Linked DNA regions of Arabidopsis thaliana. The protein of the gene in region 1 interacts with the protein of each later gene in a pairwise test. Each region holds a gene or a part of one and is shown in the gene's direction. Other genes may lie near its edges. The genes, in order: AT4G11860, SVL1 and AT5G61240.

Region 1 (6,997 bases):
AATTATTATAGTGTAAGTTTTTTGCAATAGATTAGTTTCTTAATTAATAAGTTTTTTTTAGGTTATACATGCAAATTTCGCTTATAAAAATAAAATGATCAAAAAGAAAAGAAAAGAATGAATTAGATATAATGAATACTGAGAACAAACGAAGATATATGAACAAAAAAGTTAAAAATGTTAAGTTTTATGGTTTCTAATTCGAAACTAGTTAACAATGAATAAAGAGATTTATATTTTTTATACACTAGTCAAGTCTATTCTATATTTTTAATGTGGAATTTTTTCTATACGCTTCTTGGAAATAATGTTTTTCTAGTTATTTCGACAGAATTTAGTTTTTTTTTGAACTATTAATTAGTAAAGATGACCAGACCACTTTCCGGACTGGATTAGTGAATCATGTGTTTTTGGACTCTGATACCATGTTAAGTTTTATTGGTTTTTAACTCAAAATTAATTGACAATAAATGGAAAGGTCTATATCTCTTATATACAACTCAAATCTATTAGATTGTGCGGTTTCAACTCAAAACTAATTGACAATAAGTGGAAAAACTCATAACTTATATATATACCACTTAAAATTATACTCAACTTCTAATGTGGAACAATATTCCTAATATGCCTCATTGAGATCGATGGTTTTTCTAGCCATTGATCACGATATATTTGGTATAGATCGATGGACCAACTACTAAACCGGACCGATGTGTATTGGGTTGAATATCGGCTGACTCAAAATGATGCAAAAGCCATATGCCTCGAAGTTTTATAATTGGATTTCATCATCTATACGCGTGATAGTATAACAATTAGGTTTCAAATGGCCTGTTGGGCTTTTAACTATTCAATTACAGCCCATATATATAGTCAACATTAAAAATACCAACACATTGTCATTGACATGTTTGTACAAGCGTGGTCAAACAGAAATGATGTTATTCTGCTGCTTCATCAATTTATCTCCCTTGTGAATTGAGATTGATGGTTATAATGTTATGTTACTAACATCTTAATATATAAAGTTTGGTTTCTCAAAATTAGTCATTAATGTGATAATTTATAAAACATAATTTCTACAGTATTTTCATGTTTTTAATAAAAATACATGCTTATATATTGAAGTGAAATAATTACTAAACGGAAAACAATTAAAGTGAAAAAACACACCATTGTTTAGACGCAGGCCACACTTTTATTTTGGTTCTGTTTTTCGATTTAAACCTCAAACCTCATAATTCTTTAAACATTCAAATTGTCCCACCGTTTTTATAGATTCCTTCTAGATCGTCAAACACTTATATTCTTCCTTTTCTTTTTGTCAACACATTCTGACATTCATATAACTTTTCGTGTAAAACTATAATATAAATAAATGTGATAAATACACTTCTAATTCTTTCGTAAATGATATATCAAGAAATTTCCCAAAATTTTTTAAAATGTTACGTGTTATAAAGAAATTAATTAGGAATAAAAAAACTATTAAAAGATGACTTTTAAGGAAATGAAATGACGGTGTTATGATAAGAAATGAAGAATTTTATCATTTAAATTGACCTTTCCCCGAGAAGATACGCACTAAAGATACCCAATTGGTTTATCAAAACCGTAATAATCGAACCATAATTCTTCTCATACATCAAATACCGGAATAAATTTGAAAAATTGGTCGTTACTATATTTGGTTCAATAGCAATTTAAACAATACCGGAATTTCGATTTGGTACGTACCGGTTTGGTTATGTGACACATTTCAATATCAACCTTCCCATAAAAGTTCTTTCTCGTAATATAAATTAAATCCTCTTTGCTCTCTCGCTCGCTTCCTCTTTTCGATTTGGATCAGAAAAAATAAAATTTCTTCGGAATTTCCAATAATCTGTCTCTCTTCTTCTTCGATCGAAAATTTGACTTTTTTTCGAATTTGTTTTTTCATTAGCTTTGGTTGATATCATCATCGTCAATGGCGACCGCTTCATCTTCAGAATCTCCGAGCGAAGAAACGCAGACGAATCAAGAAGCGATGCAGCAGCAAGATTTACCGAAGGAAACTACTACGGAGGAGGAGATTTTGTATAAGACGAAATCGATTCAGTTCCTTGGAAGAACCACACCTATCATTCTCCAGAACGAAAATGGACCTTGTCCTTTGTTAGCCATTTGTATGTTTCTATTTTCTCCTTTTTCGTCCTCATAAAACTTCATTCAGATCGTAAAAATAGGGTTTGGAAAGTGGAATTTCGGTGTTATGATCATTGATTCTTTAGGTTTGCGTTACTGATTTTGTGGAATTTGTAAAAGAAATTGAAGAATCGGTGTTAGGTTTGCTTGTTCCGTACAATGTAATGAATCATTGATTTGATGGTTAGTGTACCGAACATCAGATTTTGTTGTTAGCTTGAGCTTCTCGTAGAAATGACAAGTGTGAGAATTTGGTATTTAGTGTGCTTAATAATACTTAGATCAATTAACACTTTGATTACTGATTGTTATTTGATTTTGGGATGAAACAGGTAATGTGCTTCTCTTGAGAAACAACTTGAATCTAAATCCTGACTGTTATGAGGTTTCTCAAGAGAGATTGATGTCCCTCGTGGTCGACAGACTCATTGATTCCAATAGTAAAGTCAATGTAAATAAGCTGGCTTCTTATCTTTGCCTGTTCTTTATATTATCTTGTGGCTTGAATCTATGTGAATCTTTTATTCTTCTCAATGGCAGAACAAAGATGAAGGATATATTGAGAATCAGCAACAGAACATTGCTGATGCAATTGATCTTCTTCCACGCCTTACTACTGGAATTGATGTCAATATTAAATTCAGGAGGTTAATACTTTGTCAGCTGTTTCTGCTTATAATAGGTAGAAATTCATAAGTTAATTATCATGAGTGTTTACCTGGTTGCAGGATTGATGATTTTGAGTTCACACCTGAATGTGCAATATTTGATTTACTTGACATTCCCTTATATCATGGATGGATAGTTGATCCTCAGGTATATCATTTTGTTTCATACTTTATCAGAATGGCTCTGTCTGCGCGTAAATAATTAAATTTCATTAGTATAGGCTGTTGACGTTTTTTAATTTCGTTCCTGTCTTTTGTGTGTGGATGTTTGGGATGTGGGGTCATCTTCTCTTCTTTATCTTCTTGAGAGTTGAGAAACAAAACATAGGTTACTTTATTCTTTTTATCCATTGTTTGGCTCGTTTTAAGATGGATTGGAACAGTGGTCAAGAGCACTCATTTTAAGATGGTGTCCTTATCAATCCTGGGCCTGTAGTAAAACTGTAAAAGTATTGATTCAATTGTTTCCCATGTGCATACCTACAGGATGTTGAAGCAGCTAATGCAATTGGTAGCAAATCGTATAATGCTCTTATGGGTGAGCTAGTTGCACTGGAGACACAGAATGTAGAGGCTCAAGGCGATCAAAATCCCGGAGAAGATTCTGTTGATTTTGCTGCGGCAACTACTGCAGTTTTAGGGGTTCCTTCACCTTGTCTTTCGAAAACAAGATCTTTTGATGATTCTCCACCTGCGGCTGCAGAGCTTCGTAGAATGAGAAAGGGGGATCTTGAAGAAGAAACAGAGTTGTTGCAAGCCTTGCAGTTATCACAGGGGCAGGGGAATGATCCAACTCCAAACACTAACGGAGACTCAACCAATCAAGATTCTGCGTTCACATTTTCAGATGCGAGTCCAACTAGCACCCATATTACTAATATCAGTCAGCTAGACCAGTTCAAAACTGATGATGATAAAGCATCAGAAAATGATGGGAATATGATCAAAGTTGGGAAATTTCCGACAACGATTACAACTAAAAGTGAGGATCTTAACCATGATCAATTATCTTCTAAGCAATCTGGAGGTGAAACGGCTTGTGATGTTGAGAACGTGAGTAGCAGCAAAGAGGCCATTGTCGATGTAACTTCTTCTGAGGCACTCTCTGTGGATAAGGGTAATCTGGAGTCAGCGAAAAGTGAAAGCAGTTCTGAGAGTGTACTCAAGTCTGATGCAGCTTCTATTGATCCAGGTAGTTTTTTTGACTCTTCCTTAGTTGGTGTAACCTTATAGATGTCTCTATACATAAGTATAGTACTCCTCCATCTTAATCATTTTACTGGCTAAAATTGCATCTGAAGATATTAGATAGGAAAATTCTTACTCAGATACCCATTGCATCTCCAGATTTGAGTTGCAGATCCCAGCATGATGATGCACCCAACGCTTTTATCCCACCTGTATCTACCGATGAACCTATGTACGAAGGTGAGGAATGTGTAAACACAGTGCCTCCAGTTTGTGCAGACAAAGAACCCGTTTATGAAGGTGAGTCACTTCTTGGTAAAAGGGTTGAGAAGGATGTTGGTGATTGTTCTTCTGAAGGGAGGGCTACGGATGGGCTCACAGCAGAAGAAGGTAAATTATACTGTGTCTGATCTACTTGTGATACACTTGAAATACATTTTCGGAAACTCATACATGCATGCCATTGTGGTTAGAGCTGCTCTCTTTGCTCTAGTTCACATTTTTCCATATATTCTTGCAATTATTAAATAGTTGTTCTTGAGTTTTTCCAGGTGAACTAATCAGGAACTTTATGAAGAATAGTGCAAGTCAATTAACCTTTTGTGGGTGCGTGATCTTATTCATAGTTAGGAAGTTATATTTTAAATTGACTGCTCATGTATTATCTTACATTGATTATTGATCATATCTTACAGACTCTTTCGCTTGCAAGAAGGCCTCAAAGAACGTGAACTCTGTGTTTTTTTCCGGAACAATCATTTCTGCACCATGTTCAAGGTTTGTTTAGTTTGCGGTTATTTCCATCTTTGAATTGCAACAGGTTAATCCCAACTAAATTCTTCTTGTTGCTGTCATATTTTCAGTATGAAGGTGAACTTTATCTTTTGGCTACAGATCAAGGTTACCTGAATCAGCCTGATTTGGTTTGGGAAAAACTAAACGAGGTATCAGCAAAAGTTACTTACTCACCATTTGTCTTATCTGCTAATTTTGGCTTCTTAGGAGATATCTCTATATCCACAATCTCTTTAGAGCTATGGCTGTTGTGACCACTATTGACATGCAATCTGGTTTCAGGTTAATGGTGACACTGCATTCATGACTGCTACCTTCAAGGACTTCACGATCGACAGCAGCACAGGTGGTGCAAGTGGCACATGGGATGAACGAAACGCAGTCACAAATACTGCTGTATGTTCTCCTCATAATATAGTCACTAATCCACATTAGATCTCCTTCTTTTACCTTTTTAATCATTTTTTTTCTTTTGGTTCTCCCTACACAGGATTATCTTGCCAGCATCAACAATGTAGCGGATGCAGGCATAGATGTCAAGTAAATATTTCATACCTTTCTTTGACCACTAACCCATTGGTTCTCACCAGAGACACATTTATGCATTTGTTATAACTGTCCTCTTAAAAACATATTTATGATTGTTTAATTTTAATTCCCATGGTACTATGCAGTTCTGATCTGCAACTAGCAATAGCTTTGCAACAACAAGAGTTTGAGGACCAGAGCCCACGTAGTAACCCAACTCCACAACCAACTAGCGTTGCTGCCTCACGATTGGTCACTGGTCCACAGGTATTTCATTCCTACTCATAACACTATATTCTTAAAAAGCAGGAATCGACACAAATGGTTAACAATGATTATAAGAAAAGGTAAATTACCGTGTGACCTGCACATTGCAACAATATACAACACTGATTATTAAAATAGTAAGAGAGTATAGCCTTAACAAGCACATCTGCAAGTCCTGTTTAGTACATTTGTTTTCTGTCCATATACTTTACCGACTAAGATGAGTTTACAAGTACCAATTGCGAGTGTAAAACATCGATAATGATCATACACCGTAATCAGAAGCTCATTGAATATAATGCAGCCTTGCTTCTTGTGGTGTTTGGATGAATGTTAATGATCAGATATTGTACTGACCATTGCAGGTACCAAGGAGCAGCCACAGGCCATCATCAGCTGCGTCTTCGAGACACGACGGCAAATCCCCTAAAGATAAAGATAGCAAATGTAGAATCATGTAAATCCTCATTTCACTTATGTAAATTTCCAACTTTTTCTTATTCCCTAACTAATTTTAATCCTTAAAAGCTTTTTGGTTTTAACAAAAAATAAACTGTAATTGCGCTTTGACTAAACTATTTTTTGTTGCTCATAAAAAATCAGAGCTTTTCTTTATCCTTTTGAGAAGTGGGAGACGAATTAGAGTTTGTGTTCACGTTTTGGCTTTCGTTCTGTTAAGTTACTCTGATCGCCGTTACTTTTTTGACGGAGTAACGGCTATTGTCCGTGATGCCTTTTATAATAATTCTGCTTAGCCGGCTCGGTTTGACTAATCGCCAACTTTTTCAAGTTGTAATCGGAGAATGTGATTATTAATCCCTAATTAAAATACTTTTTATCTGCATTAGCTAATCATTTTGACTAGTTATAAACTTAAAATAATAAATAAATTATATCCTAATCCCTCAATTCGAATTTCAAACTAGTTTGTATTTCTTTACAAGTTCAACTTTTTTCTTTTCACTATAAGATAATGATGTGCTAAGACCACGACTGATAGATAATATGAATCCACTAGAGCTGTTGAAAATTATAGTTCAAAATTGAGGAAGACTTCAACAATGAAAATGTCTTCTCCATTGAAGAAAATGTCTTGATTTATTATTCAATACGCAATTATATGGTTTAATTTAGTGATTTTTCGAATGTTTACTTCTTGTTGATAATAAATATTAAATAGTAATATGATTTCATTTCAAGAAAATGTCATGCTTAATTATTACTTACACTATTAAGTCGAATGTTTAATTTCTAGTTGATATATAAAAATAGTAACATCACCACTCAAATGAAGTTGCATCAAAAGAGGGACCAGAGAGAAAGAGTTTCGTGAGCAGCCAACAACCAAAGTGGAAGTCCTCTTA
Region 2 (6,245 bases), on another chromosome or scaffold:
GCGATGAACACTGAGATTGGTATCACCTGAGGATGCTCAGCTGCTAGTTTATTCGTCACAAACTCTGTTAATCCGATACTCATTTTTCACTCGATAATGTTTTCGATTTCGTCGATTTTGAAAACACCAATCGCAAACGAAGAAGGCACACAGAGAACGATAGAGAGAGAGACGAGGAAAGAGTCAGAGAGTGAGGAGAGATTTGAACTGCGATGAACAAGGCGGTGGTTACAGGTGGCGAGGAGACGAAAGACACGTGGCATGTTTCCAACGTCATCAGACTGAGTAAACGTGAGGCTTTTTGGAATTGTACTGCATCTTGGGCCTTTTTAGGGCCCAAAACTAACTCATCATGTATTTTTTTCTTACCGGATTTGGGGATTTTTTTCTTTTTTCTTTTTTGGGTCTAACTAACTCGCGTAAATTGTTGTTCTTTTTCCTTAATTTATTTTTACCTCTTGTTCTTTATTCTGTTTATATAAAATTATGAAACTTGAAAACTCAATATTTATTACAACGAATTATTTGGTGAAGACTCGAACCAATCGAAATAAAACACTCTACTGAGTAACGGTCCCGGTTGCAACAGCCAAGACGCTAGAACGTGATCGTTTCGTTTGGTCGTGTTTTGATGACGTAAAAAGTGACTCAGCGACCTATTTCACCACGTGTAATCTTTAACGACCATGTTCTAGGACCTACCTGACTTTTAATCGATCATCCACCACCGCCTTCTCAACATTTTTTAAGATACTAGTATCATTATAGCTATAATATAAATTAAGAAACTTGTAAATATTATAATTAACGTGAAAACATAGAATTCGGATATATAATGTGTATATTAGATAAATAATAAATCTGCTCATATGTGATATGTATATGCATATATCATATATGTAAATGTAGCCATTATTGGAATGCGTATTGGGTAATGGGTAGTATCACTAGAATGATACAATTTTTCTTATATACAGAGAAGAGAAGAGGAAACAAGAAAAACAAATACGTTCCCCGCAGTAGACTTTTTATTTGTTGGTACCGTAGAGGAAAACAGATATACACCAATTACTATAGGAGTGATTAAGGGAGAAATTGCAGGGATATAATTGATATCTAATAGCCGTTTCTACACTAATCCTAATTATAACAAGACCAATGATTGACACATGTATATTGCAATTGCATGCATTATATAGTTTATTATTATGCTTGCTTATAGTTTAGCTGGTTTTGGAAACAAGTAGGTAGTAATAAAGAAAAACAAAGAGAGAGTAGGTCGTAATAAATGAAGAACGCATAACTATAAAAAATAAATACACAAATATATGTAAAACAATTGTTTGGTTTCTCTAGGTTGGAGACAACCAATCAAAAAATTATATTCTAATTTAAAATAAAACTTATTTAGTTATCCCATGAAAATTAAACTCTTGTATTCTCAAAAAAAAATTGAGTCAAAATTACACTCCCAATATTTTCTGTCTGCAATAAAGATATGGAGACACATTGAAAAACATTTTAGTTTATTTATGAAAAACCAAAAAAATAAAATTTTAGTTGATGTTTTCTTTTTAAAGTGGAAAAATGTGTCAAAAACAAAAAGTCGAAGTTCTTTTGTTTTCCCTTTTAAAATAATCAACGATCATATAAATTCGAATCCCACAAACCAAAAAGCTCTCTCTCTCTCTCTCTCTCTCTCTCTCTCTGAGTAAATCTCAGTTTTTGGTCGAAGTTGGTGAAGTCGCCGCCGGGACAACTCAGGTTGTTACAGATGATAAACATGCGAGATAATCCAACAATGCATGTCTTACAAGCTTCAAAGTTTCTATTTTTAGCTCTTATTTTGATCCAGTTGCTGTCTACTCAACTCTTTGCTCAAAGATCTAAAAGTCCATGGCAAACACTCACTGGTTAGTGTCTTCTATCTCCTTCTTCTCCTATTTATTCAATACCCTTCACTGTTAATCAATAAATCAGTAGAAAAGTTGCTTCCTTTTGAATCGTTTCATAGAAATCAAAGAGAAAAATTTGGGGGTTTTCTGAGTTTCATCCAAAGAAAAATCGAAGCTTTCTTATAGGTTTCATCGGATTTTGTTTCCATTTTTGTAGGAGATGCTCCCCTTGTCATTGCTCGTGGTGGGTTTTCTGGGTTGTTGCCAGATTCAAGTCTCGATGCTTACAGTTTTGTATCGCAGACTAGTGTTCCTGGTGCTGTTCTTTGGTGTGATGTGCAACTAACGAAAGATGCAATTGGACTTTGCTTCCCTGATGTGAAGATGATGAATGCTTCCAATATTCAAGATGTTTACCCTAAACGGAAAACTTCTTACTTGCTTAATGGAGTCCCTACTCAGGATTGGTTCACCATTGATTTCAACTTCAAGGATCTGACAAAAGTTATCTGTAAGTTCACGCGTCTTTTTGAGCTTTAGTATACATTCTAATTTATTGGACTAGTGGATACTAGTTGTAGAAAGATCTTATGTTAATTAGTTTATCTATGTTTTAGGGGTAATTTGTCTGTGACATTTGATCAAATTGAGTAAATTTTAGTATTGTTAGATTTGATTGCTGCTGTTCATTGAGGTGTAACTTGCTTGAATCTTCTTCATACAAATCATTCTCATAGTGAAACAAGGAATATTATCACGGTCAGCGGCATTCGATGGAAACAGTTACGGGATATCGACAGTTAAAGATATATCTACGCAGTTAAAACCTGAGGGTTTTTGGTTAAATGTTCAGGTAGCTCTTTTGTCAGTAAGTTTCTTGTTGTTTTCCATTTTTTGTTGCAGTGAAAGCTCACTCTAATACGGCTGTTCTTTATTCAGCACGACGCATTCTATGCTCAACATAATCTGAGCATGAGCAGCTTTCTGCTATCAATTTCCAAGACTGTGATTATTGACTATCTCTCTTCCCCTGAGGTGAATTTCTTTCGGAACATTGGTAGGCGTTTTGGACGCAATGGGCCAAAGTTTGTGTTCCGGTTTCTTGAAAAAGATGATGTTGAGGTGTCAACCAACCAAACCTATGGATCTCTTGCGGGAAACCTAACATTCCTCAAGACTTTTGCTTCAGGAGTTCTTGTTCCCAAGTCTTACATATGGCCAATCGAAAGCCAATACTTGCTTCCCCGTACATCTTTTGTTCAAGATGCTCACAAAGCAGGATTAGAAGTATATGCATCAGGTTTTGGAAACGATTTTGATCTTGCATACAACTACAGTTTTGATCCATTGGCCGAGTACTTATCTTTCATGGACAATGGAGATTTCTCCGTGGATGGCTTGCTTTCTGATTTCCCACTAACAGCATCTTCAGCTGTTGGTAAGTAAATCTCTTCTTCTGTATCACATATACTGCTATAGAAACTACAACTACACAAGTAAAACCATTTTTCACTTTTCCTTTAAACTTTTCTTGTTCCTCAGACTGCTTCTCCCATCTTGGAAGTAATGCTTCATCACAAGGTATTTGAGCTATTCATATGCGTTTTACTGGCCACATTATTGATGCCATGGCACAATAATAACTAACGGTAGATTTTTTTAATCTTCTGTTTGGTTCATGTCACAGTGGATTTTCTTGTTATATCCAAAAATGGAGCAAGTGGAGACTACCCTGGCTGTACTGACTTGGCCTATACAAAGGCTATCAAAGATGGTGCTGATGTTATCGATTGTTCTCTTCAAATGTCATCAGACGGGATTCCGTTTTGCTTAAGTTCAATAAATCTTGGGGAGAGCACGAACGTTGTCCAAAGTCCTTTCAGAAACCGTTCTACAACTGTTCCTGAGATCGGCTCACTTCCTGGAATATACAGCTTTAGTCTGGCATGGTCTGAGATTCAGACCTTGAGACGTAAGTTTTACCCATATTCTCTTAAAACTGTCTTCTCCGTATGGCATTCTTACTCTAGGCAGTGTGTTGTGCTGGTAGATCCTTGTTCTTACGATAACTGAGTTAGCTGCACGATGGTTCTTTCACGGTGTCCACGGCAAATACTAATTCTAGTTATTTAGAGGCTACCAATAGATGCAAAATATCGTTCTGTTGCAACTTTATCTGTCCCTTGATAATGAAAAAGTAATCTTTCTGTTGATGTAATCCATCTCAAAACCGGTTTTTATCTGTTTTAAGTGTCATTGATTATGTTTCCCCCCCCCCCCCCCCCATCTTTTTGCAGCTGCTATTGAAAACCCCTACAGCAGGGAATTCACTATGTTTAGGAATCCAAGGGAGAGAAGTTCCGGGAAGTTTGTTTCACTTTCTGATTTCTTGAACTTGGCAAAAAACTCCAGCTCTCTCACCGGTGTTTTGATCAGCGTGGAGGTGAGTTGTATAATCACTTTTAGACTTTTATCGGTCATTAGAATAAAAGTGATCTTCGTCATTTCTTTTGATGGTTAAAACGAGTATGATTTGTTTCCTTCAGAATGCAACATATCTGAGAGAGAAGCAAGGGCTCGATGCTGTTAAGGCAGTTCTCGATACACTCACAGAAGCTGGTTACAGCAACAAGACAACAACCACAAGGGTTATGATTCAGTCAACTAACAGCTCAGTCTTAATTGACTTCAAGAAACAGAGCCGGTATGAGACAGTGTACAAAGTCGAAGAAACCATCCGCGACATTCTCGACACTGCAATCGAAGACATTAAGAAATTTGCGGATGCTGTTGTCATTAGTAAAAAATCAGTCTTCCCCACCAGCGAAAGTTTCACCACTGGACAAACTAAACTAGTGGAGAGGCTGCAGAAGTTTCAGCTCCCCGTTTACGTTGAAGTGTTCCGAAATGAGTTTGTTTCTCAACCATGGGATTTCTTCGCTGATGCAACTGTCGAGATAAACTCGCATGTTACTGGAGCTGGTATCAATGGAACCATCACTGAGTTCCCTCTCACAGCCGCGAGATACAAAAGTAAAGTGAAAACCAAAAGAATGTCTTTAAAGCTTTTCTGTTTTCATAACATTTTAGAGTTTTTGACTGTTTTTTTTTGTTGTTCCTTCTCAGGGAACTCGTGCTTGACCCGCAAAGACGTGCCTCCTTACATGATCCCAGTTCAGCCCGCTGGCCTCTTAACCATCGTGAGTCCTGCTTCGTTACCTCCAGCCGAAGCACCAAGCCCAGTTTTCACAGATGCTGATGTCACTGAACCACCATTACCTCCAGTCTCAGCCAGAGCCCCAACCACCACCCCTGGACCTCAATCAACAGGTGAAAAGTCTCCCAACGGACAAACCCGAGTCGCTCTATCTCTTCTTCTCTCTGCATTCGCTACGGTTTTCGCCTCTCTTCTACTTCTGTGATCACATTGATCCGATCACCCGCGCCTGTAGGATTTCATTGTGAGATTGATCGAGTCCTCAGGGAATTTTTTTTCCTTCTAACAGTTCTTGGGATTCTTTGCAGTGATGAGTTTCTTGTCTGTTCATATTATTCGTTGTCTTTTGTAGAATTTCTGGCCAAAGAGGTAAAATTCTTGGACGTAAATTTGTATCATTGTTGTAACATTATTCACTGTAATGTTCTATTTAAACTCTTGTCTTGTGTGTACGTACTTGTAACATTATGATTGTTCTTTGAATATTGTTGTCTAATCGTAAAGATTGGGCTTTTAATACAGGCTACTTATGGATCCAAATTAACTAAAATGGGCTTTAGTTTAAAGCCCAAGTACGTGATAATTCAACAAACTTGACAACTTTCTCGAGATGATTCAGATCTGTCGATGAAGCTCTTGTCTGGACTGGGTTTAACAACGAAGACAGAGATCTTGTGGGGATGTTTCTTCGTGATCATTGGTTCTGTTTCCTTCTTCGGATTCGTCATTGCAGTCGTGTCGTCGAATGATAGGCACTATTGCTTCTTGATTCCATTGACTCTACCAGTTATAATGGTTGCTGTCTACTTTCATTGGCTTAGCATGAAGCTCTTCAAGCATGCTTGATATATCCATCGATCACCATTTTAAGGATCTATTGTGAGTTTCAATTTCACTCTCTCTTGACAATTCATTACTGTACGTAACAGAAAAGCTATGGATGTGGATTTCTTGATTAAATTGAGACAACTTTGTTATCAAAGTAGATTTGTTTAACTTTAGTGATTACTGCAAAATTATGTAGATGAAGAGCTTGTATTACACGTAGTGACTTGTTACTCTCAATTAAATCTTCCAAAGCATATGGTTACATTATTGCAAAAACTATAGCATATAATTATAGTTTTGATCCA
Region 3 (5,507 bases), on another chromosome or scaffold:
TCTCTATCTCTATCTCCTCGCTGGGTTACGGTACGAGCCTCTCAAACTTTTCGATTCCTTGTGTTCATAAGTATGTGTGAAAATCCTTGCGTGTCGAGATTGATTTTTCTCTTTTTCGTTTCGGATTCATCGTTGGATTCTTATTTCGTCAATGTTTTTCTGTGATTTGTTCTGATTCATGTGTAATTTGTAGCTGACTTGATTGGTGATCGATGATTAAAATTTGTACTCGTTAGTTCCCCCTTGATTCGATTGATTTTGTCTCTGTGAGGGTATTTTTTCTGATTCTATTGTATTGTTTGTAGATTTGCCAATATTAGAGACTACAAGTGTCGTAATTGGATTCTGAATGAACTTTTGAAACTCTACACGAGCTGGATTGTTGTGTTATTTATATTACAGAGAAATTTATAGCATTTTTGTTGTGTTCATCTGGTTTTCACTAATTTGGTTTTCTTCTCCATCTTTTGTTGATAGGTTTGGTAAGGTCAGTGTTCTCTAAGGCTGAAATTTGGGGGTTTCTCAGTCTCGATGTGGTCGTGCTCCGTTAGGATTCTTCACAATCATTAGGGTTATATTTCTTACAAACTGATGCTCATTTTCTCTTCCCTGTCTATGGCTTTATCTGTGATCCTTCAAAAGCTTAGTGTCTTCGGCCCTGGTTTGAATCCTTCTTTCCCTTACTGCATCGCCAATCACTCCTTTGCCTCCCGTTAATTGAGTTGCTCTCTTTCAACTTAATTACATTAGTCTGCTTCCTTTGCTGTCTAGTCTGGATAGTGTTGCAAATCAAGTAGTATCTTCTTTAGACATTCTTGGCTGAGAGATTTACACTAAAAGCATAGAATAAGAAACCCCTGTTTGGTTAGTATCTACCCGAGTCTCGTAGTCCTACACAGATCCGGATCCTAGTTTCGAAGCTAGTTCTTGTTTAGCTGAAGCTCAGACCCAAAATGCTCCAAGAACCGTCGGCTGCATTCTCCCTCCGGCGTAACTCATTCAGACGCCGATCTCCCAGATCAAATGTCGATGACAGAGGCTGGAATCCGCTCCATATCAAAGCCAGAAAAGGCGATCTGAAATCTGTCAAGCAGCTTCTCGACCAAGGAATGGATGTGAATGCTCTAGCATGGGGACCCAAATCAAAAGGAGTGAGTGCACTTCACCTTGCAGCAGAGGGAGGTCACATTGAAGTCATGGATTTACTCCTAGAACGTGGGGCCAACATTGATGCTAAAACATGGGGCTCATGCGGGTGGACTCCTCTCCACGCTGCAGCCAAAGAGCGGAAGAGAGAAGCAGTGAAGTTTCTGGTGGAGAACGGCGCATTCTTGGCAGATGATATAACTGATACCAGGTTTAATCCGCCGGTGCATTACTGTCACGGCCTTGAATGGGCGTACGAGGAAATGAAGAAGCTTAACAGCGAGTCTTCTTCTTCATCTGGTGGAGACACATCTTCCAGTTCTGACAACTGAACTTCTTCTTGGTTGTTTCTCGGTGTGTTTTGTTTTGTTTTCTAGTTGAGACTACTTATCAGAACTATTATGGTTGGTGTTTGATCTTATGGGCTATGTGAAACATTGAAACTGCGGATACATTCATGTAATCTTCAGTGTGTTATTTTGCAACTCCAGTTTGATATCCTAGCCGAATTTGATTTGTTTAACCGGTTCTGGATCAACCAAAAATATGAGATAATCGGTTTTGGTCTCTTATGAATCATTAAGTCTAAAAATTAATGCAGGTAATTGACATAGTGTGATTTAACATAATTGACATGGATATGTATATAGCTAGATTGCGAGGATGAAGCAAAGTTTTGCTCTTAATTGAGTTAGCACCATATGTTTCTAATCATTGTCATTTGTGTCTTAGGACATGTTTAACTAATTAAGGTAAGGAATGCAATAATTTTACACAAATGACAATTATTTGGTCGATACCCATTAACAAGATTGGTTCTATCTCTTCAATGAATGATTTGGTCGATACCCATTAACCAAAAAGAAAACATCCGGATCATTACCAGACCCGTCGGTGAGATAGCGGGTTTGAAATACACGGTATTCGGTTTACGAATCTCAGGAGGAGGAAGAGAAAATAAAAATGAGTTTTTTAATTTCGCTCTCTTCTTAGATCCCGTTTGTTCTCTTTCTCACTTTGGCTGTTTAAGCAAAAACCATGGCTTCTCGCTGTGAGCTACTTCTGATCTGCGTCTTCTCTCTCTTAATTGCTTTTGCTCACTCCAAGACATTGAAGCGAGATGGTAAGTTTTTACTTTAATCACCCTCTGGTTTTGTGTTTATGATCGATCCTCCATTGATTGAATTTGTATAGCTCTTTAACAGATTTGGTAGATACCCATTATCCAGATTCGTTCTATCTCTTATCAATTTCCATGATTTAGCACGCAAGTTCGATCCTTTTTCTTTCATCTATTTCTAATCTGAGCTGAGCTGAGCTCAAATTGAGAAATATTAATTATGTGTGAACAATGATTGGATCTGATACTATTGGTCTCAAGAAGTTTGTTATATCTCTGCATCATGGTAGTTGGTTACTACTGTATCTTTTATAATCAGCTTTCCTCAAAGTTAATCTCTTGTGGACAGTGAAAGCTTTGAATGAAATCAAAGCCTCTTTGGGATGGAGAGTGGTGTATTCATGGGTTGGTGACGATCCTTGTGGAGATGGAGACCTTCCACCTTGGTCTGGTGTCACGTGTTCTACACAAGGAGACTATAGAGTTGTCACAGAATTGTAAGTTCTGGTTTCTTCTCACTTTAGTGTTTTCTTTTGTAGCAACCTGATTTGCTTCACTGAATTTGATTTGCAGAGAAGTTTATGCGGTTTCGATTGTTGGACCTTTCCCCATTGCAGTAACAAACCTTCTGGATTTGACTAGACTGTAAGTTACTTTCTAAACCTTTTTATTTGTGACATTAGGTAGATTGATGCAAGAACTCTTTGAACAGATATTTCCAACCTAGTTTGTGAAACGAGATCCCCAATAATTCTTTAGAGTTATGCTGTTTTAAGATGGTTAAATTGAAACTGGTATTGGTTTCTTTGATATTTCAGGGATCTACATAACAACAAGTTGACTGGTCCAATCCCTCCACAAATTGGACGACTGAAACGGCTGAAAGTACTGTATGTTCCTTGTGCTCTCACAACGATATGAATCATTGATTTACTTCCTTTCAAAGTTTGTCTCAATAAGTTGTTCTGAGACCAAACTCAGGATCCAATTCTCTTCAGAGTGAACTTAGCACTTACGTGACAGAAGTCTGTTATTTGTGCCATCATAACATGTCAAGTTTCCAAATACTTCACCTAAACATTTACTCTGTTGTTATCACTAGAAACCTGAGGTGGAATAAACTACAAGATGTGATCCCTCCCGAGATTGGGGAGCTGAAGAGACTAACCCATTTGTGAGTACCTTAATGTTTCTTTTTACCTTCTGATGATCGTCCATTTTTATCCACATGAAATCATGATATTTTTTCTTCTTTTCTTTTTATGTTTAAGGTACTTGAGCTTCAATAGCTTCAAGGGAGAAATTCCCAAGGAACTAGCTGCTCTTCCCGAGCTTCGGTATCTATACCTTCAAGAAAACCGTCTCATTGGTAGAATTCCTGCCGAACTGGGGACTCTGCAAAACCTTCGCCACCTGTAAACACCAAATGCCGTTTTCTACATATAGTTTGGGTACCCTCCAATGATTTATTTACTGAGATCATGTTTGGTTTGTGTCCCATTATTTTTCAGAGATGTTGGTAACAACCATTTGGTGGGAACTATACGGGAGCTCATCCGTTTTGATGGAAGTTTCCCAGCTCTTCGCAACTTGTAAGCATCCCTTCAGAAATTTCCATTTGCTTCTCTCTTCCGTTTGATATATTCTTTTATGTACTACGTTTTCTCTTTTTAAAATCTCGATTCATTAGGTACTTGAATAATAACTATTTGAGTGGAGGGATTCCTGCTCAGCTGTCAAATCTTACAAACTTAGAGATTGTGTAAGCAGTCTACACTCTCCATCTCTCTGCAATAAACTATATCACTAGATCTCTGATGTCTGTTTGATTGGTTTTGCAGTTACCTGTCTTACAACAAATTTATTGGAAACATTCCTTTTGCCATTGCTCATATTCCTAAACTGACATACCTGTAAGTCTTTGTGCTAGATCGCTGATCTTTCTCTTTGTCTTTGATTTGCTTACTATCTAAAAGAAAATATGCATTCTAATGGGATCATGATGTTGATGAAACCAGGTACCTTGATCACAACCAATTTACCGGGAGAATCCCAGACGCATTCTACAAGCATCCATTCCTCAAAGAAATGTGAGTTCTCACCCAATTTTTGAAGAGTTCATCAAAGCTTTGACTCAGACAAAATAGCAAACCCATCGAGTATAAGAATTTGAACAATGTGAACTGTTTTGTGTGAAATCCATCTGGATGAGTTTATGATGACTGGTTTTTCAGAAAAGTTGAATGTTTTCTTTCTTCATTCTCCACTCTGACGATAAGGAGTTCTGTTTCTATTTTGCAGGTACATTGAAGGCAACATGTTCAAGTCAGGCGTGAACCCAATTGGTACCCACAAAGTTTTAGAAGTTTCTGATGCCGATTTTGCCGTGTGACCGGATAGAAGATTCCAGGAAGGTTCTCGAGAAAACGTCTCAGAACCACCTAGAGATTGTTCCACTTTAGCCCTCTTCACTATTATTATTTTTTGTATGGTCTGTGGATTTGCAAATGAAAGAAAGCATAAGACTACAAGTTTTTATCTTCATATTGTATAGTTAGACACATTCCACTAATCTATATTTCTCCTTAATCAAATGATTATATATATTTAGATTGGAATAAACCACTTCCAGTATACAATAGTATGTGTTACATCGATCATATATACAATTGCCAAGAAATTTACAGTAGTTCTTCAATGTTTGATTTTCACCAGTTACCATCCTCTTCAAGAACAAGCAGGAGCATCAAAGGTAGGCAACACAATGAAAGAGATCGACAGCGGATTGATATAAACCGGAGATTTCACACCATGACGGACCGGCTCAAGCTTTGGGATATCTCCGGTGGCTGTCGGTACCAAAGGTTTACCATTCAAGAGCATTATCTTGCTACGCAAGTCACCGTCTTTGGGACTCAAGTGATACTCTTCTCTGTTCAAATATCCGTCCGAAGCTTTGTTTCCAACCCAAGAAACCTTGCTCTTGATTGTTTCCAAGAACGATTTCCTCTTCATCGATTCTGCTTGCAAAACCACCTTCACGCCATTGCTGACTGCGACTGTAAACGTCGTGTGCTTACTCAGATTGATCAGAAGAATCGTTATACCCGCCTAAGATGATAGATTTCGCAGTTACAAACCGAAACTAGAGGATAGTTTAGCGACAGAAAGATAGAGATATATATACACTCACTCTTCTTTTGGAGCAATGAACGTAAGCTCGTAGATACTCCGAGGCAGT

What was found.
Region 2: the proteins of AT4G11860 (region 1) and SVL1 interact in a protein complementation assay, tested with the Arabidopsis thaliana proteins (one large-scale study listed by BioGRID).
Region 3: the proteins of AT4G11860 (region 1) and AT5G61240 interact in a protein complementation assay, tested with the Arabidopsis thaliana proteins (one large-scale study listed by BioGRID).

What each region holds. Positions count from the first base shown.
Region 1 is NC_003075.7:7,133,334-7,140,330, reverse strand, and holds AT4G11860 (FAM63A-like protein (DUF544)), read left to right. Parts: upstream 1-1,820; 5' UTR 1,821-1,969; coding exon 1,970-2,168; intron 2,169-2,519; coding exon 2,520-2,638; intron 2,639-2,727; coding exon 2,728-2,834; intron 2,835-2,915; coding exon 2,916-3,003; intron 3,004-3,341; coding exon 3,342-4,047; intron 4,048-4,202; coding exon 4,203-4,433; intron 4,434-4,594; coding exon 4,595-4,649; intron 4,650-4,738; coding exon 4,739-4,820; intron 4,821-4,906; coding exon 4,907-4,987; intron 4,988-5,120; coding exon 5,121-5,234; intron 5,235-5,328; coding exon 5,329-5,378; intron 5,379-5,512; coding exon 5,513-5,633; intron 5,634-5,998; coding exon 5,999-6,094; 3' UTR 6,095-6,435; downstream 6,436-6,997.
Region 2 is NC_003076.8:22,472,503-22,478,747, forward strand, and holds SVL1 (SHV3-like 1), read left to right. Parts: upstream 1-1,639; 5' UTR 1,640-1,774; coding exon 1,775-1,913; intron 1,914-2,112; coding exon 2,113-2,406; intron 2,407-2,632; coding exon 2,633-2,748; intron 2,749-2,834; coding exon 2,835-3,333; intron 3,334-3,437; coding exon 3,438-3,476; intron 3,477-3,582; coding exon 3,583-3,867; intron 3,868-4,192; coding exon 4,193-4,338; intron 4,339-4,441; coding exon 4,442-4,928; intron 4,929-5,021; coding exon 5,022-5,317; 3' UTR 5,318-5,714; downstream 5,715-6,245. Other genes in the region: NHX3 (Na+/H+ (sodium hydrogen) exchanger 3), read right to left, coding at 1-83.
Region 3 is NC_003076.8:24,627,301-24,632,807, forward strand, and holds AT5G61240 (Leucine-rich repeat (LRR) family protein), read left to right. Parts: upstream 1-1,955; 5' UTR 1,956-2,184; coding exon 2,185-2,269; intron 2,270-2,615; coding exon 2,616-2,763; intron 2,764-2,839; coding exon 2,840-2,911; intron 2,912-3,084; coding exon 3,085-3,160; intron 3,161-3,247; coding exon 3,248-3,282; intron 3,283-3,368; coding exon 3,369-3,440; intron 3,441-3,537; coding exon 3,538-3,681; intron 3,682-3,777; coding exon 3,778-3,858; intron 3,859-3,956; coding exon 3,957-4,028; intron 4,029-4,107; coding exon 4,108-4,179; intron 4,180-4,284; coding exon 4,285-4,356; intron 4,357-4,567; coding exon 4,568-4,658; 3' UTR 4,659-4,902; downstream 4,903-5,507. Other genes in the region: ANK6 (Ankyrin repeat family protein), read left to right, coding at 954-1,478; GUS1 (glucuronidase 1), read right to left, coding at 4,994-5,377, 5,460-5,507.